Linked DNA regions of Mus musculus: all the other regions are reported to be linked to region 3. Evidence: microRNA targets listed by miRTarBase, many of them from high-throughput screens and not tested one by one. Region 3 holds a microRNA gene; each other region holds the end of a gene's coding sequence.

Region 1 (10,425 bases), not on the chromosome of region 3:
CGCCGCATTCTGGCAATCCGGGGCCATCTGCGAGGGAAGCACCCCTATGTTATCAGAGAGGTCTCAACGCAGCCTCCGTTTAGCTGAGATCGGGAGCACCCCTTTGGCTTAAAAGACTCTCAGCAGTCCTACTCGGGCTCCCACCCCACCCCCACAGCGCTTCTTTCTGTGTCTTTGGGGTTTTTTTTAGTGCTCTTCCACGTAGGCAGACCCGGCCCGGGTCAAGTCGGTGCCTTCAGAGCCGCCCACGGGCCACGTAGGGGGCGGGGAGCAATTTCTCTTAGCTCCCAGGACCTCAGAGTCTCCCTCCCCCAAGTCCTCCCAATGGACCCCTCAATTCAGAACTTTCCAACTCAACCTGGGGAGAGAGGGATCATAGATTGTTCTTCACCCCTTTCCTTCCTAGCTTTTGAATTCCCTCTTCTTCCCTAGCTTTAGGAGAGCTAGAGGCATCGCATCTTTTCCAGGCTCCAGATTCAATCCCAGACACGCTTCATTCCTCTACACAGAAACCGGGGAAACCCTTCAATCGAATCATTTTTTTCTAAGCACATTTAAAAAAAAAAAAAAAAAAAAAGCATCCTCCCCACCCTCAATCAGCTTCCAAAATTTTCTGGGGGTGGGGAAGCTAACAGTGGCTAGGCCTGAACCCCAGCGGGATACTCTGCTTCCCTCGCCCCAGATCCGTCGACCTAGGGAACCCCACCAGGAGCCCCATCACCTCACATTCTCCCCTTCTCTTCCAACTGCCCCTCACCCCGCCCCTAATACGTTTACCCACCTGATGGTGATCCGACCTCGGAGGCCCGGACCGAGGAGGCGGCTGGAGAAGGGGATGCGGCGGATTGGCTGGGTTTCTTGGTGGATTTCTTCTCTTTCATCCAGGGGAACTCGGGGGCTGGGGGGGCAACGGGGAGTGGCGGCGGTGACCGCAGAGCAGGCCCATCTCCGGCTTGCTTTTGGCTCCCTGGTCTCTGAAGGGTGGAGGCGCCGAGCTGGAGGCTGGGGAAGGTTTGCTCCAGAGGAGGAGGAGGAGGAATTAATGTCGACTCCTTGATTGATGAAGTTTGAAATGTCTCCAAGACAGCGGGGAAGGAAGTCAGACACTCGGCGAGCGATGGCTGGCTGTTTATAAACCCAATCTCCCTCTCAAATTCAAAATTCATGGCTTTCAATGGTGGGGGAGGGGGCCTGCTGGGGGGGGCGTCAGGAGGGAGAATCAGAGGGACCCCCCTCTCCCGCCCCCCCCAGGTTTATGCAATGGAGCAATTTCGCGGGGGGGGGGAGATTTCGCTCTCTCTCTTTTTTTTTTAAATTTAGGCCTTTATAATTGTATATTGCTGATAAATACAAGCGTATGGGGACTCTCTCTATTAAACCCAGGACTCCGCCGAAATTGCAGGGAATTCATGGTCACGGGACCGGTCTCCGCCAATCGCTAGTCTAGGCCTAGTGGAAAACACAGGCATTATTTGCTTTAATTGATTCAAAAACTCCAGAGGACCACGACCTGGATACCATGAGGCTTCCTCCTCTACCCCTGTTCCTTCATCAGTACCCTACACTCTCCCTAATGGCTCTCTTTTCCCAGAAAAGCCAAAAGAACCTCTTCCTTCCCTTCAGAGACTGTGTGGTGGTGGCAAACAACCACATTTAAGGGAGAAATGGAGTGAGTTAATATGCTTTCTTTATGTGGCCCTCAGTAGCCTCTTACCCTACCACCACCTCAGCCCCCAAAAGAAAAGAAAAAAAAATCTCATTTAGGGGGAAGTGGGAGTAGAAAGAGGCTTCCATACCTTGGGGGAAATCAGAAAGGAGATGGATAAAGGACAGCACTAAACACCAGCAGCAGCGGCAGCCCACCCACCCTCAGAAAGCAGTAGTTCACACTTAAGAAATGCACAGAGCTGGCACGCAGCAGGGACATAGATTCCAGGAGCACTTTGGGACATGGGCCTACCTCCCTTGCTATGTGCCCTGGATTCTAGTCTCTGCTCAGAATTTACAAGCAGTTTCTTATGTCCACTTGCCTTCCTGTTGGGGTCATCTGTACTCACACTGTGACACCCCAACCCTGGCAATAGGAGGGTCTAAGAAGGTCTAAGGTGACAGATGTATTCACAGGCCCCCAGGTGTATCTGTGTCTCTATCCAGGGCACCAAAGTAGCCATCCACTTAACTTTCAAAGCTAAAGTCAGTGCACAGTCGCCCTCTGGACAAAGGGATTTCCCCCTCTGTATTTGCCTTTGGGCTACTTTTAAAATCCCTGGTAAGAAAACATTTCCTAAAGATGGTGGGGGAGAGGGGGCTGGGGATAATGACCACCACTGAGATTATATTCTGCTTTGGGCCTCCAGAGAGAAAAAAAAATGTAATGTATTCTATGGTGAGGCACCTATGATGGGCTCAATTTTAGAATATTGTGATTTACTAGAGGAAGGAGGCAAAAAACAACAAAAAAAAAAAAAAAAAAAAAAAAAACCAAAAACAAAAAAACCTCAGAGCCACAAGCAAATTGGTGGGAAACTAGGCCTCAAAGCTGAAAATGAAAAGTCGGCTGGGGGAAGATTTTTAAATAAGTGGGTCAGAGGGACCAAGAGGAGATGAGGCGATCAATCTTAGCCCCCTGACAGCTCCCTCCGATTGCATCAAAGAATTTGGCTCTTTGGGAAAGCAGAGGGAACAACCTAAATTGCATATCCCTTAAAAAGGCCTGAGGGAGGGGGGAGCCAAAGAGAAAGGTGATTCTGGGAGATCTAGGAAACAGATGGGAAATGGGGACAGAGGGAAGGCGCTAACTTGGGTGGAAAGTTTGCCCCGGAGAACTCCCACGGCTCTGGCCTCCCCTCCCCCTCCTCGCTCTCTGTCGCCTAGCCTAGAGGAGAAGGCTGCTTAGCAGAGAAATGGCAACTCAGCGGAGAGCTGGAACTAGAAACTTTCTGTCAGTGTAACGTCCGCGTGGGTGGTGGTGAGTATTTAAAGAAAGAAAGAAAAGAAAAAGGCAGAGAAGTTTGCCGGGAAGCGGGAGGGGGGGGGAAGGAGGGAAACCTGGAGGTGGTGGTTGCAAGGACAGAAAGAGGCAGGCTCTTGGGAAACTGCTCTTAACTAGGCCAGCGGCCAGAGAGGGTGTTGTGTACCTTAGCTAAAACAAAACAATGTATGCATATATTTTCCTGGATGGTGGTTAGCAGAGGAGAATCCAAATAGTAACTGTCTGGAAGGGAGTCCTGTACAGTAAGGCCTGGGAGAGGGCCTTCTCCCCGGCAGCATGGGCACTTCCACAAGTTTTGTAACAGGCACTCCAGCTGGCTGCAGCATCCAAGGATCTCCTAAGACAACCAGAGCCCAGACTGTCCTGTAGGAAATACAGCTCTCTAACCCTTGATGACAGATTTTATGGCCAGATTAGTGAACAGTAGAAAACTTGGGTGTTAAAGTGGGGATCCAAGAAAACCCTCCAACCCTCCCTCCCTTCCAGAGACATCCGTCCAGCCCTGTCTGCTACCTTACAGAGCAGATTTTTATCCATGTTTTTAAACAGCTTTAGACCTAGAATCTGGAAAACAGAAGGGTAGGTCCTATTTTTGTTTAGAGCCCTAGCTCCAAGCCACAATATATCAATATAGCTAGCTAAATTCTCTCTTATCTGGTTCCTCTTCAGCTAGATAAATAAGCAATCCACCCTTCCCCTCACAGTCAAACATGACCCTTCTCATAGTTATATCATTCAGAAATGGTATTCAGGGAAGAGGAAGAGAAAAGGAAAGACAGACCCTTGAGCGTTATTTGATCCCAATCAAACATTGCACGCTCCTCTGCCTTTAATTTATAGCCTGGCCCAATGCTAAATTGCTTGCTGCCCAGATGAGCCAAGTCCAGTTAAAAAAATTCTACTTGGTGGGGAGGGGGCGTATTATTCAGGTTGTTTTTTTATTGTTATTTATTGTTGCATAAAGACTGTAATTACTAACCTTGGACTGCCAGGATACAACATAAAAATGAAAATCAGCCCTCGCTTTAAGGCTGAGGGCCTGGAAAGATTCTTATATCCCCACCCCCCCCACCCCGTATCACCACTACCACCAAATATATGCTCCTAATTAAGCAATGCGGGTTCATCGCTTACAATTAGAATTATGTAACTCTTCAGCGGGCAGCCATCGCTTCTCTTTCAACGAATTAGCTCCATATTTCAGCCTCCCCTGTCTCCTCGCTCTTGCTCTTATCATCGGATACCGCTATGCGGTGGTGACATTTCATCTTTGACAGACCCTCTCCATCCTCGCTCCAATGTGATAAAACTTTTATGGAACCAGGACTAAGAAATGAAGTTTTCCCAAGCATCGTGGAAACAGAGCCTCACGTTAGCCTGGGGACCATTTTATTTAAGCTTGGTTTCTACAGCTTCCTCTCGCCCCCTTCTCTTCCTTGGCAGGAGAAATCTAACCAGTCCTCCTCTTCCTCTGCCCTGGGCTTCATTTAATGATTAGATTTCGCTTTAGTTTTAAGGCTTGACCTGAGAAGTCTAGGCCTCGGCTTGTTGTCCCCCCCCCCCAAGATTAATCATTTTCCTTTGTTTTCATTTTAGACCCAATGATGGTTGGGCTTCGGGTCACGTGACAGCCTCATTGTAGCTCCGGAAGAGAACGTGAAGTTTAGGTTGCCTGGAAGAAGCAGTAATAAGCTAGGTTTGGGGTTGCCTGGATGTAAACAGAGGGGGTGCCTGGAGGTGCTGGTCAAAGGGACAAAAGAGGCCAGTGACTAAGAAAAACAGACAGGCAAAGAGCAGACTTAGCCCAAGATTCCCTCCCCTCCCTCCCGCCCCCCAAGCTTGTTGCTTAAACCTTAGCTGAAGAACTTGGCAGAATGGTCCAGACTGGTACAAATGTCAAAAACTGAGTTGAAAGCAGGAAACACTAGGAAGGGGAGACAGCGACCTGAGCAGTGAGCAAAGAGCCTGGGGAGTGTCACCAATGCCCTCCTGCTAGGGGACATTTGGCCACTAGAGCCTTTTTCTGCACCCTGAACTGGACCACCATGACAAGATAAAATTAATAACAGAAAGTTTATTCAAGAATTGTTTTGACAGACAACTCTTTTAACTAAGGGGGAAAAAAATAACTACGGAAGAACAAAGAAAGTTCCAAGAGAGAATTAACTTCTTATCTCTACAAATTCGGGACTATACAGTGACATTTAGGAGCTGAGTTCATGCCTTTTAGAACTAATTACAATTCCTCATATGTACGAGTTTAACATAAATCTACAGCTCTTGTCTAGAATACAATAAAAACTAAAATAGCTGGTTTTACATGACAGGAAACACAACAACCTTTATAACAAGTAAATACTAAAAAAGTACATTTTTCTTTTTTTTTTTTGTCCCTCATATAAATACATAATGTAGGGGGATAAATAATACAAAAAAGAAAATATTTTAACAGGCTATAACCAATAAATATATATGAAAATGTTCACTAGAACACACGCTTTTTGAGCGAAGCTGGACTTTCTGCAGGCCCAGACATCTCTCACAGTTGTTTTTTTTTTTTTTAATATCCATTAAAATGTAAACTCCAAGTGCAACAAGACTGTCCTGTCAGGAACTGGAGCAAGGTCCACAGGTCCAGCTGCAGCACCTGCCAGGACAGACAGTTTGTTCAAATATACCCTGTTTTCACGTTAAGTCAAGAGAAGAACAGAAGTAAAAAGAAAGTGGAGGGAGTGGGATGGGGTGGGAGCTGAGAGACTGGAGAATGGGCAAGCCTCCAGTCCTGACAACTTGCCTGCCTTAGCCTCTTAACTTTTCTTTAAAAGAAAAAAAATATATATTTATTTATATTATAGGCAGCTCTGACTTTCAGGATATCTTACCATCCCTGAGCCCTCTGAAAATTGTAATCAATAGGGGTGGGGTGTAGATATGAATGTCCTTAGAGCAGAAAACCAACCGTAGGGCCATAGTAAATGATAGATATAGTAAGAAGCCTAACAGATGGGGGATGGGGGGAGTTGAAGCTTCAGGGAAGTAGGAGAGAAACATACTTTGTGCCCTTCGATTTAAATGTATTTTCTTATTTTTCACAGGGAGACTGAAAGGGAGAACAAAAAAAATCAAGATTTTGGGGAAATTACCCACAGAGATGCAAGGTAAGTTGATTGCTTGCTGATAGCCAAGCCATTAAGTGTTGAATGTGCTTCTCTGCCCTGCTTGCCTGTCTTGGCTCCCTCTACCCGACTCCACGTCACCTCTCCAATCTGAAATTCCCACTTGGTAGTGCTGGAACCCTGGGAACCCTGGGATTGATGTGGTCCCGTCTCCAACCTGCTGTGGATTCCTTTCCAAGGGTTGTTGGCAGACAGATGGAACCAGGCATGGAGGACTTAAAAGACAGCCCCTGGGGGCGGGGAGGGGGCCTGGGAGCTGGGAAGGCACCCCAGGCCTGTTCTGTTTCTGGAAACCTGGCGACAACCCCATCCCACACCTCTTTCAGGACTCTAAACCGCGCCCATCCCCCAAGTCCGCCGTCTCCCTGGCCCTTAACCTCACCCCTCCCTCCCCAGCCCGCCCCTCCCATCACAGGTGTGTCAGTTTGGGCGCTTCTTGGATTCTACCCTGAGGCGGTGCGTGGTGAGAGGAGAGGTCTGTGTACGTGGGGTGAGGGTCACAGGGTCCATGATGCTGGTTGGGGCCCATAGGGGCCGCCCCGTTGTAGTCCAGGTTCCCCGAGGGGTGGTGGGAAAGGTGATTGAGGCCGTAGAGGGAGGGGCCGGCAGGGGGCGGCAGCGGATCCGCGTAGCCACCCCCGCCCACATACACCGGACTGCCCTGCATGGTGGGCGTCCCGTAGGCGCCCCCGTTAGCTTGGAGGACGTGGGGCTCATACTCCGACGCCGGGGTCGGGGGGTACTTCTGTGGGGCGCCGCAACCCTTAAGAGGGGGCTGGTAGTTGGAAGGCAGCGCGTAGGCATTCTGGTGGCCTTTGCCGAAAGCTGGTGGGGACGGGCTGTCGTAGCTGGGGGTCATGGAGTGTAAGGCGTTCATGAAGCCGGCCGTGGACTGCATGGGCTGCGGGGGGCTTCCGGCCGGAGAGGGACCCCCAGAGGACGAGGCCAGCCCCTTGGCCTTCTGGTCTTTCTTGTACTTCATGCGACGGTTCTGGAACCAGATCTTGATCTGGCGCTCGCTGAGGTTCAGCAGATTGGCCATCTCGACCCGGCGCGGCCGGCACAAATAACGGTTGAAGTGGAACTCCTTCTCCAGCTCCACCAGCTGCGCGCTTGTGTACGCCGTGCGCGCCCGCTTGGACGCGGCCGACCCCGGGGGGCTCTTGTCCCCTCCCCCGCCGCCGCCGCCGCCCCCGCCGCTGCTGCCGCCGCCACCGCCGCCGCCGCCGCCACCACCGCCGCCGCCACCACCACAACCTTCTGCTGGACCCGAGGGGGGAGGGGTGGGAAGGGGAGAAAATGAAATAAAAGATAATTACTGAACACGCCGAAATTGAATGCATCGTTTCTTAATAAATCCAGGCCTGGACTCGGAGGCCCCGCTGCCCTCCCCTTCGCGTCCCCACCTCCTCTACACCACCACCCCCCCCCTTCCTACCTCCCGTCGCATTAGCGGACACTCTATAATAGTGGCATTTATTAAGAGACCTGTTCTCCTTTCACGGCCCCAGCTTATGAAAATTTGATCATGTCAAACAGACAGAGCTGCGTGGCCATTTATTTAGGGCTAGGATTTTGCGTGTGCGCGCACCCTCCCCGTATATCCAAATCCAAGTCTGAGGTGATTCCTCCCTTCTGTCCGCCCTCTTTACAAGACAAGTGACTGAGAACACCTTGGGAGGGGGGCGGGGGGGGGGAGACTGGACACTGGTGGGCAGGGCCTGGATGTGTGGCACATAGAGGCTCGGGTGGCTGCAGGCCGGGACCCCAGGCTGCCTGAGCGATGGTGATTAATACCTACAATAATCATACTTAATAATAATCTATCCTTGATGACTCTGTGCCTCCAGGCGGTGCGGCCTTGGGAAGGGCTGTAAAGCCAACCATCCCACCTCCTGGAAACTCTTGGAAGCCCAGATGGAGGATGGTTGGATGGACTGGGTGTTGGTCAGGTCAGAGGTCATCAGGTAGTGAGAGGTAGCTAAAAAGCACTAGGCAGCCATCTAATATTGTCTCCAGGCCGCCTTGTGGGCGCCTTGGGGTCGGATGCTATAATAACAGTGAAATTCCTGGGTTGGACAAAAGCTGACTAGGAAGGCAGAGAGCTGGTACCTGTGCCGGGGGAGCTGTTTTTCAGCTTGGACGTTTGCCTCGACTCTTTCATCCAGGGGAATATCTGTTTGGTGAGGGTGGAGTTGGAGCCGGCACCGCACTTGGGGGGGCCGCTTTTGCTGGGCCCACCCCCGTTATTGCTGTTGCTAGTGGTACTGGTAGGTGCGGCGCTGGGTGGGGGTGAGCCCGGAGGTGCGGGCAGGGGCTCTGGGGCCAGGCCTGGCCTCATGCAGCTGCCATTGAGCTCCTTGCTCTTGGCATGTGGGGCGGCGTTGCCCAGGGACTGCAGAGAACACGCTGAGCGCTGGTAGTCACCCTCCAGGTGCGTGGCGGCCTGAAAGGGGGGCTGGGGAGGCCCGTCGTAGCCGAAACCATTGCTGCCAGGGTACGAGGAGTAGCCTCCGAAGAGCGCAGCTGCGGTGTTGTCGTAGTAGGTGGCTTTCTGCATCGCTGGGCGAGGCCCGGGCAGTGGGTGGCAACTTGCAAGGGCCTGATACCCTCACGACCGGACATTGGCACCCCTGGGGGTCACGTGACACGCCGGACCCCCCTCCCCTTTCTGCCCCCCTCCTCTCGGGTCTGTTCCAAGCGGCTGACCTGCGGGGCGAGAGAAGAGACAGAGGGGAGAAGAGGACTGGGCCTCGAATCCATCTTAGGAACTAAAAAGGGAACTGACATCAATAGTTTTTTTTTTTTCTTCTTCTCCCCTCGCCAGTATCTCTGCAGCAGACGCTGAGACCAAGTATCTAACCTGACTTGGATGCTTCACACTTCAACTTTAATTTTAACGGGAAAAAGAAAACATCCATTTTCATTTCCATTTTTTTTTAAAACAAAATCAAGACTGTACTCCTTCGAGGACCGCTTAGGAATAGAACACCACTGCTTCGTGGACCATTGCCCCTCTCTCTGGCACCCCGAAATAACCAACCCCTGGCCTCTTCTACAATTTTTCCTTAACCTCCCCCACCCCCGCAACTCCCCAACCCTGGGATGGGGCAATCCCAGGGAGAGGGCACTATTAGACTCTAAAGTAGAAGCATCCCAGAGGTCCTCCTTCCCTTAGGGAGGCCTCTCTGCTTCCAGTCTTTCTTCCTTCCATATCTTTCCACCTAAGCAAAGTCTAGCCTGGAACTTGCAGATCTTAGACCCAAGCCAGAATGAAAAGCAAATTCATCTGGGACTCTTCCCTCCAAGATCATAGCAGCCTAAGGCAGAAAACTCCTGAAGATTTTTAACCCCAGAGGCAGTGGAACCAAGTTCCATCCATCTATGTCCCATCTGAAGGTACCATCACCTCCAGTCTTGACTCAGGCAGGCCTGGGACCTAGCAGCCAGAGGCCCCTGTGGAGCGTCCAAATGGACCATGCTTGTTTAGATTTCCCAGGCAAGACCAGTTGGTGCTATGACCATTTGGCTTGGGTTTTCCCCACCCCCAATCCATAACAATCTGTTTTCTTTTATTTCTCAGGGAAAAAGAAAAAGGAAAAGGAAAAACTGTGCATCTGCTGGAATCTCTTTTCTACTGAGATGGGGGAAATTATCCAGGATGAGAAAGACTCACAAAACAATTTGAACACTATTCTTCTCTGGATTCAAAGGGGAGGCTGTTTACTGAGGTTCCCAACAGCAAAAAATAAAATAAAATAAAATTATGGTCACTATTCTAACACAGTCTTTTTAAAGTGCACCCGAAAAATAAAGCTGGACCGTGTCAGGAGGTTTTGTATTTGTTCTGAGATTTCTGACTCTTTCTCTGTCCTCTCCAGTCCTCTTATGGGTACTTCCCTAAAACCTCCAGTCTGATCCTCTCTGTGTCATGTGCTTTGAGCAAAACTTAAACTATCATTCAGCCCAGCTGGTCAACTCCAAAGAAAACGTGGTAAAAATAAAATGCAAAAAAAACTTCAGGTGGGGTGAACCCCTCCCACACGCAAACGCTGCCCTTATGACACAGATCCCTGTACTTAAAGGGGAGATGATGTAGCCCTGAGTTCCAATTGGTTTCTGGGAAATTTTTGTTTCTGGAAATACACACGGGTGTGCAAAAGCAGCAGGTCCTTCCAGGGAGGACTGGAGTTCAATTGACCAGGCTGACCCAATCCCTTTATTATTATTACCATTAGCCTCTGATGATTTAACCAA
Region 2 (10,268 bases), not on the chromosome of region 3:
TTCCAAACTGGGTGCAGGAAGAGATGGCCATCTGGCCTCCATGCCACTCCACCCAGGCCTCTGTTGAGTGCTGTCAGTCACCCCTGCAGTCACAGGCCTTCTCCTCTGCTTTTACTTCACAGGCCTCTTCAGAGATGCCAGGGTGCACCGGTGGAACGACCCCAGATGACTTCATTCTGGTTTCCAAAGAAGATGAGGGGCACCGTGCCAGGGGGGCCTTCTCAGGCCAGGCCCAGCCTCTTCTCACCCTCAGAAGCACATCTGGGAAAAGCCGAGCCCCAGCCTGCTCCCCACTGCTGTTCTCAGACCCACTGATGGGCCCAGCCTCAGCCTCAGCCTCCTCCAGCAACCCCAGCTCCAGCCCCGATGATGACAGCAGCAAGGAGTCTGGCTTCACCATTGTGAGCCCCTTGGACATCTGAGCACAGGGCCCCACTGGCGGACACCCTGCTGAACCAGTGTCTTTTTCCCAGCATGCATTTGGCATTGGTTCAACCCACTGGAACTCTTTACAAAAAGAGGCAACTATGCTTCTTTCAATGCACTATGTTTACCAAAATGCAGATAGAGGTTTCCAGACCCTTACCTGACCCTGTGACCCTTGTTCCAATTAGGGCCAGGTCAGGTCCCCAGCTCCATACCCACTGTCAGACACAGCAGACCACATCAGAGCCACATGTCTTCCGTCCCCTCCTCCCCAGCAGCTCTGCCAGTTTACACTCAGAAGGAAAAGTTGGTTTCACAACTTCCCCTTATCAAAGCTTCAGCCACAGGGAACTTGTTGATACTGAGTGAATCTGGCAGGCAGTCTCACTCCTGCCTTGGAAGCCCAACATGCCACACAGAGGGAGCAGAGCGGGTGGCTCCCAGGGCTGGAGTCAGAGTGAATTGTAGGAGCAGGGTTTCAGATTAGGAATCAGATTCTTGTTTGACACAAATACAGTTCTGGACCCTGGGCTTCCTAAGCTTCAGCCACCGCTGTTCCTCCTTGAACAACTGGATTTCTCCTTCCAGAGTCCCCACAGCCGGGAGTGCAGTGGCTCCACGCCAGTCTGCTCTGAGATGGTTTTAAGAGTCACAGGGCTAACATCCTTGAATTGGAGAAATGTGTCCAGAGCTCTCCGGTCAGGTCTCTGAGCATGTTTAGAGCTACAGTGGCCTGTTAAATGAGGAGCACAGAGGAAAACCACATTCGCACAACCCGGAGTCAGACCTCCTGGGAATTAGACCTGGAGTTCCTTCTGTGGGAGCAGGTTTCCTGTAGAGCGTTCCAGGTACCACAAGATACAGGGCTCCTATTCAACCCCCAACACCCTATTCTTGGAGCTCAGCTGTAAACTCTGCATCCAGACACTCCAAGGATGGGCCTGCCTGCCTCGGGGCCCCTGCCTGGGCTGGGTATACATGAGACATCTCCCCGTCTATTGGCCGAGTACAGAGCTGTATTGGGCACAAAGCTAGGGACAGTGGAAATGGTGGATAGATGTAGCATCTGTTAGATGTCACCTCTGCCTTCTGTCCTCCTCAGAGAGCAGCTGGGCCTCTGGGCAGTGCCCCACCCACTAATAGCATTGTAATTCTCTACAGACAGGAATGCTAATGTCAGGATGCTCTGCAGGCTTCTTAGCTGTACTGCATAGCAGGGCTGGTGGCTCACTCACATGGTGGCGGGGCTCAGTCATGGCCTCATGAATTCTACCCCCTGCCTCTGACCAGTCTTCTCAGCATTCTGAGGAGCCTGCTTGCATACATGTCCCATGAAGCTGCTCTGTAAGAATCAGGGCCACCATCCATCCCTGCTAGAAGGCTTCCAGCAAGCATTCCACTTAAAGCCTTGACATAACCGTGTCAGTACCTTAGATCTAGTGTGGGAAGTATTGACTGATCCATCCAGGTCTGGGACAGTGCCGGCCATGTCTGTCACTGCTGAGCCCTGTCCCCAGCATCTCCTTTGCGTTGAGAATAAGGTCAATAGATAACTATCACTGGCTACCCACCAGGCCAAGAAGATGATAGGCTGACCCATTACTGTTTGAATGGACATTTCATAACCCCTCGACCTACCTGCCCTGCCCATGCCCGTGATGTGCCCCGCTCCTGTGCTTGTGTGGGTGCCACATGAGAACCCCAGGTTCACACTGAGATGTTTCTATGGTCCCTAGGCAGGCCACTCTCTCCTTGGAAGAACCAAGGATGGAAAGCTCTTCTCTAAGTGACTCTATTCTTCGTTGGTGACCATTGCTTCCCTTGGTTACCTACACTGCTGGTTTGGGATGCATTCCGTCCCTGTTATTTTATCAGGTACTTCTGTCTAATTGTACATTTTAAAGTCCTGGATATATAGAACCTTTTTCTTTAACCACATGGTAATCATCAGTTTTAATCTCTCACATTTTGATTATAGCAGCTAATACAGTTTTATACAAGCCAAGCCTAGATTAAGCCCTACTGTCGTCTGCTTTTTTATACACATTTCTGTGTTTCATGCAGTCCTCTCTGATCAGATTGGAAGTGTGAAGTAAAACATACCTGTGTGCCACAGAGGGTCGGTTCAGTGCCTCGGTTCAGTTCTCGAGAACTTCCTGGCTTAGCTTGGCAAGATGACCTTCTGCTCTGCACTAACTGCAACTTGAAGTGACCACACTGCTGCTGAGTGTAACTCTGGAGGGCAGCTGCCTCCCCGGAGCCCAGTTCTCGTAGGGGTGAATCTCCTCCGCACGGGTTGGCTGTGCTGGACAACCTTGCCAGCCATGTCTTTAGTGTCAGAAAGGCTGGACAAATGCCAAAACTCTAGTATAACCTGCTGTTCAGTACAGGTTGCTTTTGCTTGCTAAAAGCTCTCCCAGTGGCCACTAAAGACAAAGCGGGGAGCACCTGTGGCCCTGCACCGGCCAGTGCCATCTCCCTTCCCCACCCTGGAACTGCTAGGAAATGAGAGCTGGGGAAGAGGCCATGTGCATGGAGAGCTGTGGCGGCAGGCTCTTCACAGATCACATGGCCTCCTCCATGCTAGGCCCAAAAGCTGCTTCTCTCTTGTTGAAAAGAGGTGTCGTTCCTATAACCAGGCTGGTGTGGAAGTTTTCCTTCGGTGCATGAGGCTCGGCTCATCTAGTTGATATCCCAGCAGTGCCAACAATGTCCTCACGAGCCTTGGTGCCGGAGCTCATACTGATGTAGGAAATGCCTCCTTGGCAGAGCGAGCCCACTTGATGTGTACTAATAAAGGACTACTGAGAACTGGGATCACATCCACTTCTTCCAGTCACATAGCTCTGGGGTCCGGAGAGCATGGAAGCGCCTGGCCAGCAGGGCTGGTGTTGGCCATGCCTCGCCCTCACTAGCATTTCCTTCCTTTACAGCATGGGCAACCTTCATAGTCTCCTGAGACTGCTTCCTAACCGCTAAGACACCAGTGCTTCTCACTTCTCACCCCTTGCTGTCCCAGGGAAGGTTATGGAATGATGCTCCATTTCAGGAGTAGTCATGGCTCTGGAGGAGCTGCTGAAGGAAGAAGCCTCCCTCCCCCACCCCCACCCCCACCCCCACCGCCCCCACCGCCACCCACAACAGTTCATGAGCAGTCACTTACCGTGTACCCAGCCCAGCCAGCCAGTGGACACAGCATGTCCCAGCAGCCACAAGCCGGCTGACCAATGCTACAGGAATTTCTTCCTACTTAGCTCTACCTAAGAGGATCTGGGGTCTGAACCTCTCACTTCTACCTCAGGAACATCCTAGGCCAGTGCTAGCCGTTCCCTGGGTTTCCTGTCAGATTGGGCTCCTGTCACAGGCTCCTCCCGTGTTGAGCCTCCTCTCCATCCTTCCTGCTTCTGGGCTAAAGGTTGAGCCTGGCTTGAAGGGTGAGTCCTTCAGGCAAGGCAGGGCTGCCCTAGTTCAAAACACAAGAGCAATTACACAGGGCTCATCCATACCCAGGACAGCCCCTCTACATGGGAGGTTTTAACCGAGGCCTATCCAGTTGCCAGCTGGCCTCTGTGGCTGACGCCATGTTGGAGTGGCTTCTGTCCCTCAGAACACTTTGACTCTGAAGTTTGCATCTGCCAGCCAACATCCTCTGAGGTATCTGTGCCGCTGGGCACTTCTGAACTTGGAGCACATCTGCTGTAGGAAGGACTTGGCATCAGAATGCAACCACACATGGAGGGCTCCTTCCATAGCTGCCCATGTGTGTCTATGGAGAGACATGTCTGCGTCAGGATGAGGCGCCCGTGACAAAGGGAGCCCAGATGAAGGCTTCCATCCTGCCTAGGAGGGGCAGGAGTCTGGTGTCAGGCACCTGCCCCCATGTGGTGAGCGGTGGGGACACCTCCTTCCTGCTCAGGAAATGCTCTGCACTGGTTTTGTGGTAGCCTCATAGGTTCTATTCTCCCCCAAAGGTACTTGCTGTGGAGAGTGGCAGTCCTTCACTAAGCAGTGGAGCACACTCAGACCACAATGGTCATGGGAACCCAGACGCAGGATTCTGCCTGTGGTTAAGGAAACTGAGGGGAATGGAGCTGTAGTGGGGGCCATCTTCCTGTGAAAGAACTACAATGAAGACCACCATGCAAAGTTACGGCCATTCACCTCAACCCTCCCACAGCATCCTTGACCTCAACATGGCATAGCCACCTCCTTGTCCCTTCCCTTGGTCCACACCCACTCAGCTGCCCAAGCCAAGCCCTGCTGTCCTTCAATTTATTCATTGTAAATAAGGGCTAATTGTCCTTATCCCAGTCTGCTAGGTGTGGCCAGTGAGTGTCCTTCAAGTCTCCAGTTCACCCCTCCAATAAAAACAGGAGTAACCTCTTCTTCATCCCATAGAGTGAGCTCTTGCTCCAGCCTACCTCACATCAAAGCTACACCCGTCCAGCTTCCTCTCCTTGATCCCTGCTCCCCAGCCTCCACCTTAGAAGTGCCAACCTGACCAGCCAGGCAGCCCTTAGGTGAGATCCCTTTTGGCCCCAACCCGCATCGCATCCTGAGATCTCACAGTGTGGTTTCATTTTGACCATGCTACAGTTCGCCCTGGGTGAGCCAAGTCTTGACTGAATGTGTATTGCTGGCATAGACATTGCCAGGTTATGAATTCCAAGGCCTCAGGTGGCAAAGACCTGGGTGAAGCACTGAGGAACGGCAAAGCTTTCCTCCTGAGTCCAAGCATCAGTGGTTATGTTTTGCAGCGTGTGCAAAGATGGTTATAGCCTGAACCTGCCTCCAGAGCCCTCCTTCAGAGACTAGATAACTCCTCCCCTCTGTGCTGTGCCCAGTAAACAGTTTCTGGGTGGGGCAGTAGCCTACTTCCAACTTTACTCTGTGGGTGTCTGTGTGTCCTCTGTTCCCTTGCTTCTGTTAGAGTTCCAGGACCCAGGTCACACAAAACAGGGCAGGCCTTGTAGAGCAAAGGTATACAACCAAGTTCTTTTACATCACAAGCAGACTGACAGGTGGAGGTGGCTTTAAGCTCTGGGGGTGGATAATTGTGCAGTGGTGGTATCTTCCTCCCATGTCCAAATTAGTGAGACTTATCTCCAAGCTGTCCTGAGGCTGCAGGTCTTCCTCGGCCTTCCCTGCTGCTACTGTGTGTATTCATAGCAGAGTTGGTCACCACGTCCTCCTTGAAACCAGGGCCCATATCTTAGCTGCTACTATTTATTGAGGATCTGGCATTTGTCAAACCCTGCCCAGAGCTGAAGACTCACCATGAAAAGATGGATCTCTAGCTCTTTAGAACTTACAGTCTAGCTAGAGAGATGTAGGGCTTAGCAGATGAGCAAACGGGGCATAGGCAGCAATGATGGGGTAGAAAGGCCACTGTCATTTTCCTCCAGCAGGAACATGAAGGCCAGAGGCCTGGAATGGAACCCAATGTCGGGAAATGTTAGCGTCTTTCAAGCTTGCCTGCCTCAGTCACCCTGGGGATGCCCCTCTCCCAGTTAAGAGGGACACTGTGGACAGTAGCTCTGGAGCCCATTTCTCCATCTCAGGCAGATGCTTGGCTCCCTGCAACAGTACTGTATGTGGTTACATCCAGTTGTCACCCACATAGCTAACAGGGCAGGTACTTTATGTCTGTCTTGGACACTGCTCAGCCCTGAGGCCCACCACTGACCAAGGAAGCCTGGGGTAGCATAAGCTCTGAACTCAAGGCTCTGCAGAGCCACGGCAGCTTCTGCAGCTTCAATCCACAACAGCCTGCACCAGAGCACAGACCCTCTGGCTGGCCACCTAAAGAAGGAAAATGCACTAGAGAGAGGGCTCAGTGGTTAAGAACACTGGCTGCTCTTCCCAGGTTCAATTCCCAGCAACCACGTGGCAGCTCACAACTGTCTGTAACTGACCAGGGGACCTGACACCCCTACATAGGCATACATATAGGCAAAATACCAATGCACATGAAGTATAAATAAAACTTTTTATAAAAATGCAACTGTGTGAGGCCTGCAGGGTGGGGACGAGGCTGCTGCTGGCTTCTCAGAATCCTGTTTCTAAGAGATTCAAAGAAAGCCTGCGGCAGGCACTGCAGAGAGGGTAACCACAGGGTCACCTAGAGGTGACCAAGCAACAACCAGCACTGTGCCTCTCTGAGCTGCTCCGGGGTTTCACCATACAGTATAATTTTAGAGCCACCTCATCTTGGGGTTTGGTAAGCCAGGAAACAGTCCACCCTCCACCCATCGTGAAAGTAAGACGTCATCTTCCTCATTCTACGGTGGCTCCATTTAGATTCCTTTTATATATTCACTATCAGAGAAAGCTTCTACAATAGTAGGTTTCCAAGTGGCTTTGCTGTCCCTTGCTCCCTACCCTCCTTTAACCTGGCCTCTCATTTACTTCTCTATCTTAGGTAAGGTTTCATTGTTGTGAAGAGACACCATGGCCAAGGCAGCTCTTACAAAGGAATACATTTAATTGGGGCTGGCTTAGAGGTTCAGAGGTTCAGTCCATTATCATCATGGCAGGAAACAGGGAGGCTTGCAGACAGCCATGGTGCTGCGGAAGGAGTTGAGACTTCTATATCTTGATCCGAATGCAGCAGAAGGAGGCTGTATCAATGAGTGTATAACCCTGAGCATGTATAACCTCAAAGCCCACTACAGTGACATGCTCCTTCCAACAAGGCCACACCTACTCCATAGTGCCACTCCCCATGGGCCAAGCATTCACACTCATGAGTCTGGGCAGGAGGGTGGGGTGTAAGGGGGGTACCTAGTCAAACCACCACACCTATTATTTTAGTTTCCATTTTATCCCTTTATGATACTGTAGTCTGTTTCCCCTTCCCCATCTAGGTCCATTCAGTATCAGGAATGGGTTATATATATATTTTTTTAAATTATTGGCAAAAAGGGTCCCATAACATTATCCAAAACATTATAGACTATTCCCAATGGTTTTGGTTACTGTCAGATCCAAGAGAAACTCCATTTCCTCAAATTTCAAAAGACAGAAGGGATGTGTGTCTCTACTCACCCCGTCCTTTACCCCAAACTCCCTCACGCTCAGTCTTCTCTCCTCAGCCACTCATTCTTCTTAGAACCTTCCTAGTTCAGATATAATCATTCATTCATTCTTCCCCCTCTCCTCTCTCTCTCTCTCTCTCTCTCTCTCTCTCTCTCTCTCTCTCTCTCTCTCTCTCTCTCTCTCGTTTTTCTCCTGGTTTTTTTTTCCATGCCATGTCCAGGCTACTTCTTTCTCTCTAGGCTCTTCCAGATGCATTTGGCTGTTCTTGCTCTCATGTCTAAAATAAAGCCTTAAATATACCATTGCATGGTAATGTCACCAGTTTATGCATCTGGTGCCAAAAACCCAGGAGGCACAAATGGCCCCCTTTCCAAGGGATCTAACTTCTCCTAATTGAGCCAAGCTGCTGAGTTGACTCTCCTAAGGTATGGATCATGTGTCTCTGCTGGTTTCTGCTACCCACCATATTTGACTACAAATTCTAGAGTCACCTACCTCTTCAGCCACTTCTTCTCTCAACCCTCTATGCTTCTCCAGGGCATTTCCGGCTCCTGGAGCCTTCTACACTCTCCTGGGCATGTAGAAAGGCTCTGTCTCTGTGCCAGCACTCAGGTATGTGTCACCTTGGAACTGCCTGCCCTGTCTCTGTTAGCTCTTGGAACCCATTGCTGCTGCAGAAGCCATGCTAGTATATCAGGCAGCTTCTCTTGCTCTGCTGTGTACCTACTGCATGGAAAGGGACACTCTCCTTCCTAATCTGGGACATTTCTCTCTGACAAGTCTCTTGATCTTCTTTGGAACACTCTGGCTGAAGTTCGTGTCAGCAGAACACTTACCCTTCCTCCCACCCTTGCTCTCCCTTTATGTTCTCTGCTCTCTCCTAGAACTTGCTCTCCCCCCCCCCCCCCCCCCGCTCTCAGCTCCTGCCTGCAGATTCCTCACCTTCACCTTGGAGCAGCCTGCTCTGTCTCTGTCTCTCTCTTTCCTTGTTAGCCTGTTATCTAGGACACTTCTCTACATCCTCTTGGGCCTCTAAGATATGGACCCCTCCCTCTGACAGAGCTCCTGTTCCTGACCCTTTCCCCTAAGCCTCCCAGATGTCTGCTTTCCTGCTTGCACCATCACTGAGCTGGCTCCTTCCCTTTCAACCTCCTTTGTCCCTGCTCTCGTCTCTGCCTTCTTCGCTCTCGGTTTGCTCTGTCCCTCACTCTGACCACTGTTCAGTCCTCAGAGATCCAAGTGTCTTTTGGGCATGGATAATATTGTACAGTGTAATGCTGCTCTCCATTCTATAAAAACCTGGCTCTGGAGTGAAGACCCTTTCTCTCTAGACCAGAGCAAGCTTATTTAAATGTTTTTTCTAAAATCTCTGTCCTGGATCAGGCAGGCTACCTGACCCTACAGGAAGAAGGGAAGTGAGCCAGGATAGGCCAAAAAAGGACACTTGAGCTTTAAAGCAGCTAAAAGGTGAACTCTCCCCAGTAGGGATTACAGCTGCTTAGCTCTTACTCCTTTTTGGTTTTATTCAACTCTAAATACTCTCTCTCTTGTATCTCTAAAACCTTTTCTAAACTAAAAGTTTTATGTCAAGATGTGTATCTCAGGATTTGTAAACTCATGGTAAATTCATTGGTTGCAGTTTTAAAACTTCTATAAAATCTTTAACAAAAAGTTGGTTTAAAACTTCTAATAAAAAATTAATAGTGTGTGGGGGCAGTGTGATCTTAATTTGCTACTGCATATTGTATATGTACCTTGGATTTAACTATTTTTTTTTAGAAAAAATGGATTAAAGAAAGAAAGAAAGAAAGAAAGAAAGAAAGAAAGAAAGAAAGAAAGAAAGAAAGAAAAGAAAGAAATGGATATATGCCTGATTGGCTTACCTTGGAGTACATAGCGACCACGTGGCTTGCAGCCATTTTTTACTAAAGCTAAAGAGTACATGTCATGTGACTTCACCACTATCATGAATAAAATGACCATGTGGTATAAATCAACGAAGGCAGCACCTATAATACTGAACCCCAGCTTACCGTATCTTCTAAGGAGACAACAGCAAGTCTCCAAGATATTTTGGATTCAGATAGATTTTTGTATGATGATTTTTGTCCCGAGAATAGAAGTTTTAGATAATGAACTATAAGACTCTGGTGAGCCTTAGCTTACCAGGGTCTCCCTGGGTAAACCACACAGAGCCAGGAATCGATGGAAAAAGCAAGAGGAATTTATTGTTCCAACACGTTGGGGTCATCCTACACTCAAAGGAGAGATGGCGACCCACCTTCCCCCACAGCCTGTTTGGTCAGTCTTTATACAGTTTTTCAGAGCAGCAGCCATCAGGCACAATGTGATTGGTAGAACAGTGTGACTTTTAAATTGATTGGTCTCTAGGGAATGAAGTGGCAATGTGTGCCCTGCAGAATGTGTTTACCTGGTCTAGGCCTCCCCCACCTGCAGGTGAGTCAGTTCTGCAGAATGTTAGCCTTCCCCTACTGGAGGAGAGGGGTCTGGTGGAATTTTCCAAAAGGTCCTGAACTGACCTTTTCAGAACAACATATACTTGCTGAATAAAATATGTTTGATTAAGATTCATCATCTCCTGAGGTTATAATGGTCTACTCAGGTTATATAAACTGGCATAGAGATATATGCTTAACTACTTTGCTATCTGTGTTCAACACAGAGCATCTAAAACTTTTTAGATAGATATGGTAAATTTTATAGATTAGGTTTTATAGATAAGAAGATAGTGTTTAAAACACCTAAGGACTATTCATGCTAACAGAAGCTGGCATGAAGGTGTG
Region 3 (10,425 bases):
AGCCTTATTTATAATAGCCAGAAACTGGAAAGAACCCAGATGCCCCTCAACAGAGGAATGGATACAGAAAATGTGGTACATCTACACAATGGAGTACTACTCAGCTATTAAAAAGAATGAATTTATGAAATTCCTAGCCAAATGTATGGACCTGGAGAGCATCATCCTGAGTGAGGTAACACAATCACAAAGGAACTCACACAATATGTACTCACTGATAAGTGGATACTAGCCCAAAACCTAGGATACCCACGATATAAGATACAATTTCCTAAACACATGAAACTCAAGAAAAATGAAGACTGAAGTGTGGACACTATGCCCCTCCTTAGAAGTGGGAACAAAACACCCATGGAAGGAGTTACAGAAACAAAGTATGGAGCTGAGATGAAAGGATGGACCATGTAGAGACTGCCATATCCAGGGATCCACCCCATAATCAGCTTCCAAATGCTGACACCATTGCATACACTAGCAAGATTTTACTGAAAGGACCCAGATGTAGCTGTCTCTTGTGAGACTATGCCGGGGCCTAGCAAACACAGAAGTGGATGCTCACAGTCAGCTAATGGATGGATCACAGGGCTCCCAATGGAGGAGCTAGAGAAAGTACCCAAGGAGCTAAAGGGATCTTCAACCCTATAGGTGGAACAACATTATGAACTAACCAGTACCCCTGAGCTCTTGACTCTAGCTGCATATGTATCAAAAGATGGCCTAGTCGGCCATCACTGGAAAGAGAGGCCCATTGGACATGCAGACTTTGTGTGCCCCGGTACAGGGGAACGCCAGGGCCAAAGGGGGGGAGTGGGTGGGTAGGGGAGTGGGGGTGGGTGGGTAAGGGGGACTTTTGGTATAGCATTGGAAATGTAAATGAGCTAAATACCTAATAAAAAATGGAAAAAAAAAAAAAAAGAAGCACCCACGCTTCGTGTTGAAAGCTTTTTAGTGCTGTTTAGAAAACTCAACAGGTCTTAAAGAACTGAACAACACTGTCAAGTCCTGAGTGTTGTCAAACTCTCAACTGCCAGGCATGATCAAACTACCCAATATCTGGGTTTACCCCATAAACCTTGGAATTTAAAATAACATTCCCTCCTCCACCCCCCGACACACACACCAAACAGGAGCAACTCTTTAACAGTTGAAACTTAAATATCTCAATTTTCGAAATTTCTTTTATTCTCTTAGCAAGCTTCTGCTAAAAAGCTATGCTTTGTATTCCCGTGTCATAGAAATCAACACATCAGGAGTTCATGCTTTTAAAACCAACATCTGTCCTTTCCTTTCCCTGCCCCTTAACTGAAGGTTACTATTAAAAATTAACACAAACAACAAAAAAAAAAATCCCCATAGCTGACATTTTACTGACAAAGCCTTTGAAAAAGTCAACAAGATGTTTACAGTTACTCTAAAGGCACACATTCTATTCAGCTAATTTTTAATCTTTAGTTTTGATTAGTTTTAGATGTCTTTTTCAGGCCTATAGTGTTCCAGGAGTACACTACAGATAAGTGTTAATAGTTCCAATTCTTCTGGAATTAGATTATCTGTTTGGTTGTGCATCTTGATACCACTATGATTTGGGCTGAAATGTATTGTTGGATGGCACTGTCCAAAGCATTTTGAGTGACATTTTTCAGCTACTCTAACATCCCAATAACCTATACATGGAGTTGTACTGTCCCCAGAGCAGTATTCTGTGAAGCATGTTAACAGCTGGAATTTGATCGATAAAGGGGTCAAAATCTCTTTTCTTTTGGTTAAGTATAGGACTAAAAAACAAAAAGTAGTGTTTAAAATTAAAGAAAAAAGAAAATTTTCCTTTATGAAAATTTTAAAAATAAAAATCATAAATTCTCCTACCCCTTAAAATTATAAAAAAAATCTCAACTATAATAACCACTCCAAAATTTAAAACTGAGAGCACTAAATGTACAATCTATAATGTACAATCTATTTATATCCCTGTCTTTATGGAAATCTCACTTCAAAACCTTAACATGATGGAGGGCTGATATTTAATTTGTTACTACATTTATTTACTCATGAGTGTTTTGCTGTATATGTACACATAAGCTAGCATGTGGTTTTCAGAAAACAACTCATGGGAGGTGGTTCTCTCCTTTCAATAAGTAGATCTTAGGGATTAAACATCAGGCTTGGTGGCAGAAACCTTTACTCACTCAGGCCCATCAAAGACCCAAGGACTCATATGTGGCTATGGAAACCTCCAGAAATCCCAGACAGCAGCTAACAGTTGTCTCTTTCATACCTCCCAGAGTTGAAAGCCTCCTTATGACAAGGTGAATCAGTCTGCCCTATCTTCACTTTTCTCTATGGTGTCGAAATATGCCAACTCTTCTTCATTTTCATTTGTTACTTATATAGCGATAACTGATTTTTAACTTTTCAATGACTGATACTGTAATTAATAACCTGCTTTCTATAGTTTCAAAATGAAGAGTATAAGTATATTCAAATTGGGAAATCTAAGTTAGTTTTATAGAAAGCGATCACTAGACATAAAATTAATATATTAAGACAAGAAAATAATTCAAAGATGAAATAGGCAAAATTTCTATTTTTATTAAGTTTACAATAAGTTGATTAAAGCTTTTTTATTTTTCCAATAGAACACTGATATTTACTCATATTCTTTTAAAGTGTTTACAGCATCGGTAATTATACAAATATGTGAAGATAAAGCTATAAATTTGAACAAAGGTTTCAAAGTAATTAGGTTTACTTGTATAATGACAATGATATTTGCATTTATATAACAGACAGTAAATAAACATACAACTTTTTTATAACTTGTTAACAACCTTTTTTTTTAATTAGATGTTTTCTTCATTTACATTTCAAACTTTCCAAGTTTCCTCTCCAAAAATCCCCTATCCCCTCCCCCCTCCCCCTGCTCCCCAACCCACCCACTCCCACTTTTTGGCCCTGGCATTCCCCCATATGGGGGCATAGAATCTTCGCAAGACCAAGGGCCTCTCCTCCCACGATGGCCGACTAGGCCATCTTCTGCTACATGTGCAGCTAGAGCCACGAGTTCTGGGGATAATGGTTAGTTCATATTGTTGTTCAATATCTTTTCAACAAAGACATGTGACATGTACATAAAATGTATCAAGAAAACACTGACCTCTTAAGCATGTTTACTTATACGAGTTAGCCATGTCACATTCACTATTGTTATTAAGACATATGAGGAAGAAAGTGGTTTATGTCTGCAAGTGTTCTATAGTATTCTGAAATACTAAAATTTATTTGGTATCAAAGAACTGAAAGGGCAAAAATATCACTGAATAAAGCTGGATTATTTTACATAAATACATAGAATACACAGATCTCTCATGACATATTATTTATTTCTAAGTCTCTGCCACATTTCTATACCCAAGAAGTGGCTCAGTCGATAAATATTTGTTTAATAATACACTTAATTTCATACTTTTCAGTAAGTGTTGAAGAGCTAAAACTCAATGCCAGTTTTGATATGGAATATCCAGGTGTCTTTCTTGTTAATTTCTCAATAAAAAGCAGTGAGAGCACATGTGGTGTCGGACTCCACCTACTTCCAGCAGAGCTGTCCTTGTCCAGAGCAGCCTGTATCCCTGGCAGAAAGTGCAAGTTCAATCAATAGTAACTGTTCTTTTCAGGAGAATATAGAGCATTGTCTTGAAGGTTTCTTTAAGCCTGAAGGCAAATCTAGAAAGGTTAATGACTCATCCAAGCTGAGTTGCTCAGCTAGTACTTCAACAGTATCTTTATCTGATATAAAACCAGTTTGTCCAAATACTTTCTTGAACTCACATGCTGAACTCACTGTATTTATATATATATTTTTTAAACTAGACCTACATGCTATCTTATATGCTACATTTGGAGCTCTGAAGAAACAAAATGCTTCTCTAATATACTTAAGGCAATATAATGTCTTTTGGTTTAAATGACTGAGGCATGCTAGTATGCCAAGTTTGTATATGTGTATATATATATATAATTTAATATATGCATTAAGTATTTTAATATCCTAAGAGTTTGTTGTGTAAGAATATACTTTTATCTTCAGTATCTCTGAAAAGAAGACGTTTGATATTGATTAAAACAATATCTAATTGTTGGGGTTGGAGATGTAGGTTAGTGGTAGATGCTTGTTAGATTGCCCAATGCAAAAAGAACTCACATTTTGCACAACCCCAAATTCTAGATGAGGTGTTCAAAAAACATTTAATATAGATGATTTACTGTAAAAAGAAAAAAGTTGAACTTGGAAGGTAGTACCATAGATTTTGCTTAAAATTCTCTTCATGTATATCCCCCAACTGCACCAAACAATCCCACCTTAAATAGCAAGTTTTTGTCATATAAGGATTTAAACTGCATCTCATCCCTGGTAAAGTAACAAGTCCCAGACACCATCAAAATACAAACACAGTATATAAAATGCTAGCCAAGTTAATAGAAAAATTGGTGAGCTAAAATGCAGGCATTTAGTGTATTATTGGCTTCATATAACAGGCTACCACAGCAATCTATGAAATAATAGTCTCATACAAACTTTTTATGAGACAGCTTTCTTGATGTAGCCCAGAATCTTACATGGTAACCCAACCTGGTTTAAACTAGTCAACAGTCTCAGTCTCCTGAGTAGTGGGATTATAGGCACACACCACCATACTTGGTCTTCTTAAACAGTTAAAAATAACCAATCTCCCAAAGTGTCTTGTACTTCTTAGCACAGATTAGCTCACCCTTTTACCTTTTAGAGTTGACCGCATAACAGATCTTTGATAGGATCACCTATAGGCCATCTAAAATTCATTTCTCTTAGCTGATTTCCAAGGCAGAGAGAGTAAACAGCCTTCTCCCAGCTTTCTTACTTTTCACAGCTGAGAGTGTAGGATGTTTACAATATCTGTCACTCAGTGCTCTCTAGAGCAGGTTGGCGGTGAGCAGCACAAGCATCAGGATGCCGTGGAACATCTGGAGATCCCGTGACGTGTTAGAACAGGGGCTAGAAAACAGAGTGTACTTGGGACTAAATTTCAGCTTCTAGGTCTGGAGCCGGTAAGAAGGCTGCAGGATGCTTACCTTCTTGATGCCTAATCAATTTCTGTTTTGCACATGCCAGGATTCTCCTGGGATTTCCTGGTTTGGCCCTAATACCCAGGCATTTCTATGCTTTCCCAAAATGGTCTGAGGAATTTCCTTTCGAATTACTACCCTGCTCTCTAACTTTAGGAAAACAAGTCTACCTTCTCGCTGTCTCAGCTATATGATTTTTGTTCTGCTTCACTCCTAACAGAACTGAGAACAACTGTTCAATTATATCTGCAGACATAAGACTATACAAAAGTTTAATCACTGACAGCCATTTATCTTATTGGTGGGTTATGAAGTCATAAATCAATCCAATGAGCAGAGTAAACATGTTGGTTGGGATATAAAATAATGCATTAAGCTGGTACACTAAATATAGCATAATCTTAGAAAATTTAAAATGTTGTATGTGGAAAGAAATATATAACTGGAGGCATACACATAAATGGAGCCAGTCAATTCCTAAGTTCTTTTCTGATAATGAATGATTCAAACAGTTCCTGGAATAGAGTTGATTTACTAAATTGATCTATTGGATAGCAAAGAAGAAAGTCATCGCTTATATAAAACATTACAAAACAAGCCTACATGATGAGACTACCACCTGTGAACCAGTGTGAACACAAATCACTCATTCATGCATTAGATAAACATTTGTATGTACTTGCCACATACCAGCAGTGATGTAAAATGCTGGGTAAGGAGAAATGAATACTACCAATCTCAATCCTCAAAACAACCTAATCTGCAGGATAGATGCATCAATCGTAGTGTAGGAGGTACTGCAGTAGTGGGTCAAGAATCAGCCCTAAAATAAATGGTAATTGAGACTAACTAGTCCCATACTGTCTCAAATCTCAAATCTAGCATCTCTCTTCCAAAGCAGCCTCCACTGATCTCTGGTAAAATCTGGGCCCTGTCACCCCATAGGAACTACCTATTCTGTCCTTTCTCCATCATTATGTCTTGAATGTTTATCTATAACCAACTCATAGTTCATTGTTGTTAGTATTGCTATTTCCTATCTCTCTATAAAACCAAGTTTCCTGGGAAGTTTAGTTTAGTTTTACTCAATTTCATTCTATTTGATGAAAATCCATAACATGGAACCAGGGTTTATTGGGTATAAACAGTATTTAAAGAATAAATATATGAATGATGCTATCTAATATCTGGCAATCTAATCACTTCAAGAATATAAATTTCTTAAAACAAGAAGAAAAGGAACAACCATTCCAGAAACAGTCTTTGTAATTGCCTAGTAATTCAAAGTACAGCTGCTATACTTTTCTATGGCATTCATGGCTAGGAGGAGAAGTGATTACATTAGCCAACCTTTTCTTAAGTGACAGCAAGATCTTAGGGAAAGTTAACCCTCCCTGAGAACCACCTGATTTTTAAATTTTATTTCTCTGATGGATTCCAAATAAAGAAAAGTCAGGGTGAAAAATAACTTCAGAGACATCCATGTAAACAGTTTAAAAATGGACAGGAATGAAAGGAAACTGCCTTAATCACAATCATTTAAGGATTTAAACTGTCAAACAGTCTGTAAGAACTAAACATAATCTTGAACATAACTTTAGTTCTGGTCTTTAAGCATCACCAAAGCTTCCTGGAAAAGAAAACTTGGTCATTTTCAGTTCTAAATAATAATAATAATAATAATAATAATAAAGCCCCCGAAGTGTGTATCTGAGCCCAGTGGCAGTTGGTAAGGCTCTGTATTTAAATCACCTCACCACTTTCCTCCACCCTACCCTGTGCCAACAACTAGATTGAGGTTTTTAAGCTATAAACCTGGCATACTGTCTCCCCCCCATAAAATCATTTTTTTTGGCCATTACCTGATTTTTAAAATCCCTAGAACACACTACATCTAACATTTCAAGATATATACTAGTCTTTCCTAATCCTCATTTAAAAAACCCCAAATGTACCAGAATTAAAGTAATTATAAACAATACAGAGACAACCATGGTTAACCCTTTGAAGCTTGACTTATCTTGTATACCAGGACTTAGCCATGAGCATTTCTAATTCCTGAAGAATCCTTCATCTAGGCAGGTAGTGACGTCTTTGCATCAGATACCTCCTATTTTCTGATTATCTCCCGGTTACTGCACCTTCTGCCCTCTCCTTTGCATATACTTCATTTAGGCTAAGTTGCCTATAACTTTTCATGTCACTTTCATCTTGCCCATCCATGTAGAAGAGCACATGGTCTGGCAGCATGGTTTAAGGCATACAAAAGTGCTTGCTGCCAAACCTGAAAACCTGGGTATAACTCCCAACCAAAATGGAAGGAGAGAACCAACTCTACTAAGCTGTGCTCTGGCCTCCTCATGTGTGGCTTGGCATACACCAGCCATGCATACTACATACATTTTATTTTCTAAGAGTAGGGGATCATTAGCCCCTAGTTATAACCCCCAAATCCAAATATCTACAATGTAGTAAATAAATCTGTGAGGAACAATGAATTACATGGGAATTTCTAAGGAACTATGAAGAAGTCACAACAAAACCTAACAGTAACTTTCATGTATCACAACTTCACCTTTCCTATTCTATTGTGTTGCTCTTCCCTGGATGCTAACTGCAGTTTCAGTACCTCACTGCATTGTTACAATATGTGCATAACCAGCAATATGTTCTTGTGGAGTCAGTAAAACACTATCCTCACAAAATGTGGAGCTTTATCTCACGCAAGAGTTCTCTAGCTTAATGAAAATATTCTTTGTTCAAAAAAAAAAAAAAAAAAAGAAAAAGTCCACTGTTTCATTAACTTCTTAAGTTCATCTCAAAGAAAAGGTTCCCTTCTCCCATCCAGAACTGCTTGATGGGATTTTCTGTCTAGATTCTTGGTATAACTGAAATCATACTGTTTAAACCAAGACATAGCAAATTCTATAGTGTACAGAATAGACAATCTTCTGGGAAACTCTGTGAACAGATTAAAGTCAGGAGGCCACTATCCTCATGTAATATATCTGATTACATTTTCCTTAAACGTTGGGATCTTCATTCCCACCACCTTCTCTTCTATGCTTGTTTTACTTAAGCTATTGTTCGTAGAAGAAAAAACACATGAATTTAATATAATTGAATCTTATATTTAAAAAATACTATTGCTGTTTTAAGTGGGAAATCTCAAGTTAAAAACAAACACATCCAAAAAATAATCAAACATTATGAAACCCTAAGGTTTGAATGATGATATATGTATTTTTTCAATGGTGTAAATGGAAAATGTTCAAATAAAATTGTCACACCCAATTTTAATCCTCTTTCCACATGAACTGTAAACACAGGTCACTTTGACATTGTTAGTCACAATAAACAAATGTGGATTTTTATGTTGAAAAGTTAGCTAGTTCTGACTATGGCCATAGGGACAGGGGGGTATGGCAGTAGCCAAACAGAAGGTATTTTGATCAGTGTTGCCAAATTGGAACACTTATTAGACAACTATAAAACTTAATCACTGTTTTTTAATTTAATTGGAAAATTGTAGTCCTATCAATGTTTTAGGTAAATCTTGTGCATTTACTATAGTTGCTACTGGAACAACTTTAGAAAGAACTGTTGCTCTGATAGAATAGCAAATGGCTAATGGCATGACTTAGGATGCTGAAACTATTCTGTCTCTTCAGTGAAGGCTTCAGTATAACAAACAGTAGCTTTGATAAATACTAGCTATTTTGTTTCAAGTCTATAATCCATCAACCAACTATGTGCAGGTGCTTTGGGAATGGTTACCTGGAAAGCACAGGAAAGTGAAAGCTGTAATGTGACCAGAGAAAGGACAAAGGAGGGGCTGAGTAACAAAGAAGTTTTTTTTTTTTTTTTTTTTTTTTTGAGACAGGGTTTCTCTGTGTAGCCCTGGTTGTTCTGGAACTCACTTTGTAGATCAGGCTGGCCTTGAACTCAGAAATCCGCCTGCCTCTGCCTCCCGAGTGCTGGGATTAAAGGTGTGCGCCACCACGCCTGGCTCAAAGATTTTTAACCTTGTTGTCAGTACTAATTTTTAAAAAGAGAATCTATTCCTGCAATATTTATACAAGTATAAAAATTACATCAGTGCTCTGTGACTGGAATTCTCTCATCATTCAGCATTCATCTGAAACTGTAACATCACCAGAAATGGAGTAAAACTGCTAAACTAGCCTTTGAGTACCTCAGGTGTTATAAAATGATTAAATAACATAGTAACATCCTATGATGCCCCAGGCATGTTCTCTTAGAGTACCTATCCTTATAAGCACTTTCTGTGATACTATTATACAAACATTCTAAATTTACCACTCAACAATGTCTTCATTCTTTTGGTCTAATCCTTCCTGTAGGAAGAGGACAGATCTTTCTCTTAAGCCAAATGTAAAGTCCAAGCGTTTGTTGCTGCTTCTAGCAACCATAGCAAAGCTTAATAGTCACAGAAAAAGGAGGCCTTTTATGACATCCTAATGGATTAAATGATTCTTTCTCAAAAAGTAGTCTAGAGAAAATAAAAAAGACAAAGTACCAGCAGGTGTCACTAGAACCCAAAGCACTACTGCTTCTCTGCCCGACGGGGCAGAAATGGGAGTTTCACGTTGCAGGAGTGAGCTCAAGCACAGTTTGCAGTGTTGGTGGCTGACACTGCCACACAGTGGCTGCCTAATCTAACCAGGAAAGAATATGCAAACCTCAGCTTAAAGAACTGCACAGTAAACAGGAGTAGATGCTATAAATGATTAAATCTTCTTTGGAGGTCAAGAGCTGTTCAATTTGTATGTTCAGTTTTGACTTTTAGTAGGCAAGCCTGAGGGGTCACACTATGGCGATGCTTCTTGGAGACAGATTCAAAGTGAAGGCGCCCAAGTGATCATTCAGTACTCGTTTAATCCGTGTTACATTAATAATGATCTTAAACTGATTATAACAAATTAAAGAAGCATATTATAATAACTTTAGTGAATATTATAAAAATGCCAGGAAATACAGCATTAAAAAAGGCAACAGAATTAAAATGCTATGCTAAAAGTTATCTAAGATTTAAAAGGGGGCAGAGCTGGAAAGAGGGCCCAGGAAAGTGTTTCTTGTGCAATCCGTATGACCTCAGTCTAATCCTTGGATCTCATGGAAAGATGAAGGGAGCAAGAACCCATTTCATAAAGTCTCACACACATGTGTAGCAGGCATGCCTACTCCCTTACCCCCCGCAAGAGTAATAATAATTACATAAAGAGCAGAAAAAAGAAAGGCTAAAGAAATGCAAACAAATACCAAAGTCACAGACCTAAACTCAACAACACCACTACGTAGAGC

Evidence for each region. Region 3 holds the annotated microRNA mmu-miR-30c-5p (UGUAAACAUCCUACACUCUCAGC, at 4,904-4,926, opposite strand). A microRNA usually pairs through its seed, bases 2 to 8, with sites in the 3' UTR of a target mRNA and lowers its output. Matches are read on the target gene's strand: a 7mer-m8 pairs with bases 2 to 8, a 7mer-A1 pairs with bases 2 to 7 and ends in A, and an 8mer does both.
Region 1: miRTarBase lists Hoxb3 as a target of mmu-miR-30c-5p. Seed matches in the 3' UTR shown: 7mer-A1 at 5,569-5,575.
Region 2: the mRNA of Tbc1d5 is a reported target of mmu-miR-30c-5p. Seed matches in the 3' UTR shown: 7mer-m8 at 548-554 and 7mer-A1 at 713-719.

What each region holds. Positions count from the first base shown.
Region 1 is chr11:96,342,552-96,352,976 of GRCm38, reverse strand. Hoxb3 (homeobox B3) reads right to left here. Exons shown (of 4, transcript NM_001079869.1): 3 at 8,281-8,877; 4 at 5,047-7,431. The coding sequence starts at 8,728. The coding sequence ends at 6,578. It overlaps Hoxb3os (homeobox B3 and homeobox B2, opposite strand), which reads left to right. Exons shown (of 4, transcript NR_155303.1): 2 at 4,589-4,683; 3 at 6,088-6,150; 4 at 9,752-9,943. Hoxb2 (homeobox B2) reads right to left here and starts at 1,345. Exons shown (of 2, transcript NM_134032.2): 1 at 782-1,345; 2 at 1-27. The coding sequence starts at 1,166.
Region 2 is chr17:50,726,099-50,736,366 of GRCm38, reverse strand. It overlaps Tbc1d5 (TBC1 domain family, member 5), which reads left to right. Exons shown (of 22, transcript NM_028162.4): 22 at 123-3,240. The coding sequence ends at 422. Among named protein-coding and RNA genes, the nearest start is that of Gm41598, 60 kb to the left of the region's middle.
Region 3 is chr1:23,286,215-23,296,639 of GRCm38, reverse strand. It overlaps Mir30c-2 (microRNA 30c-2), which reads right to left and starts at 4,939; the gene lies at 4,856-4,939.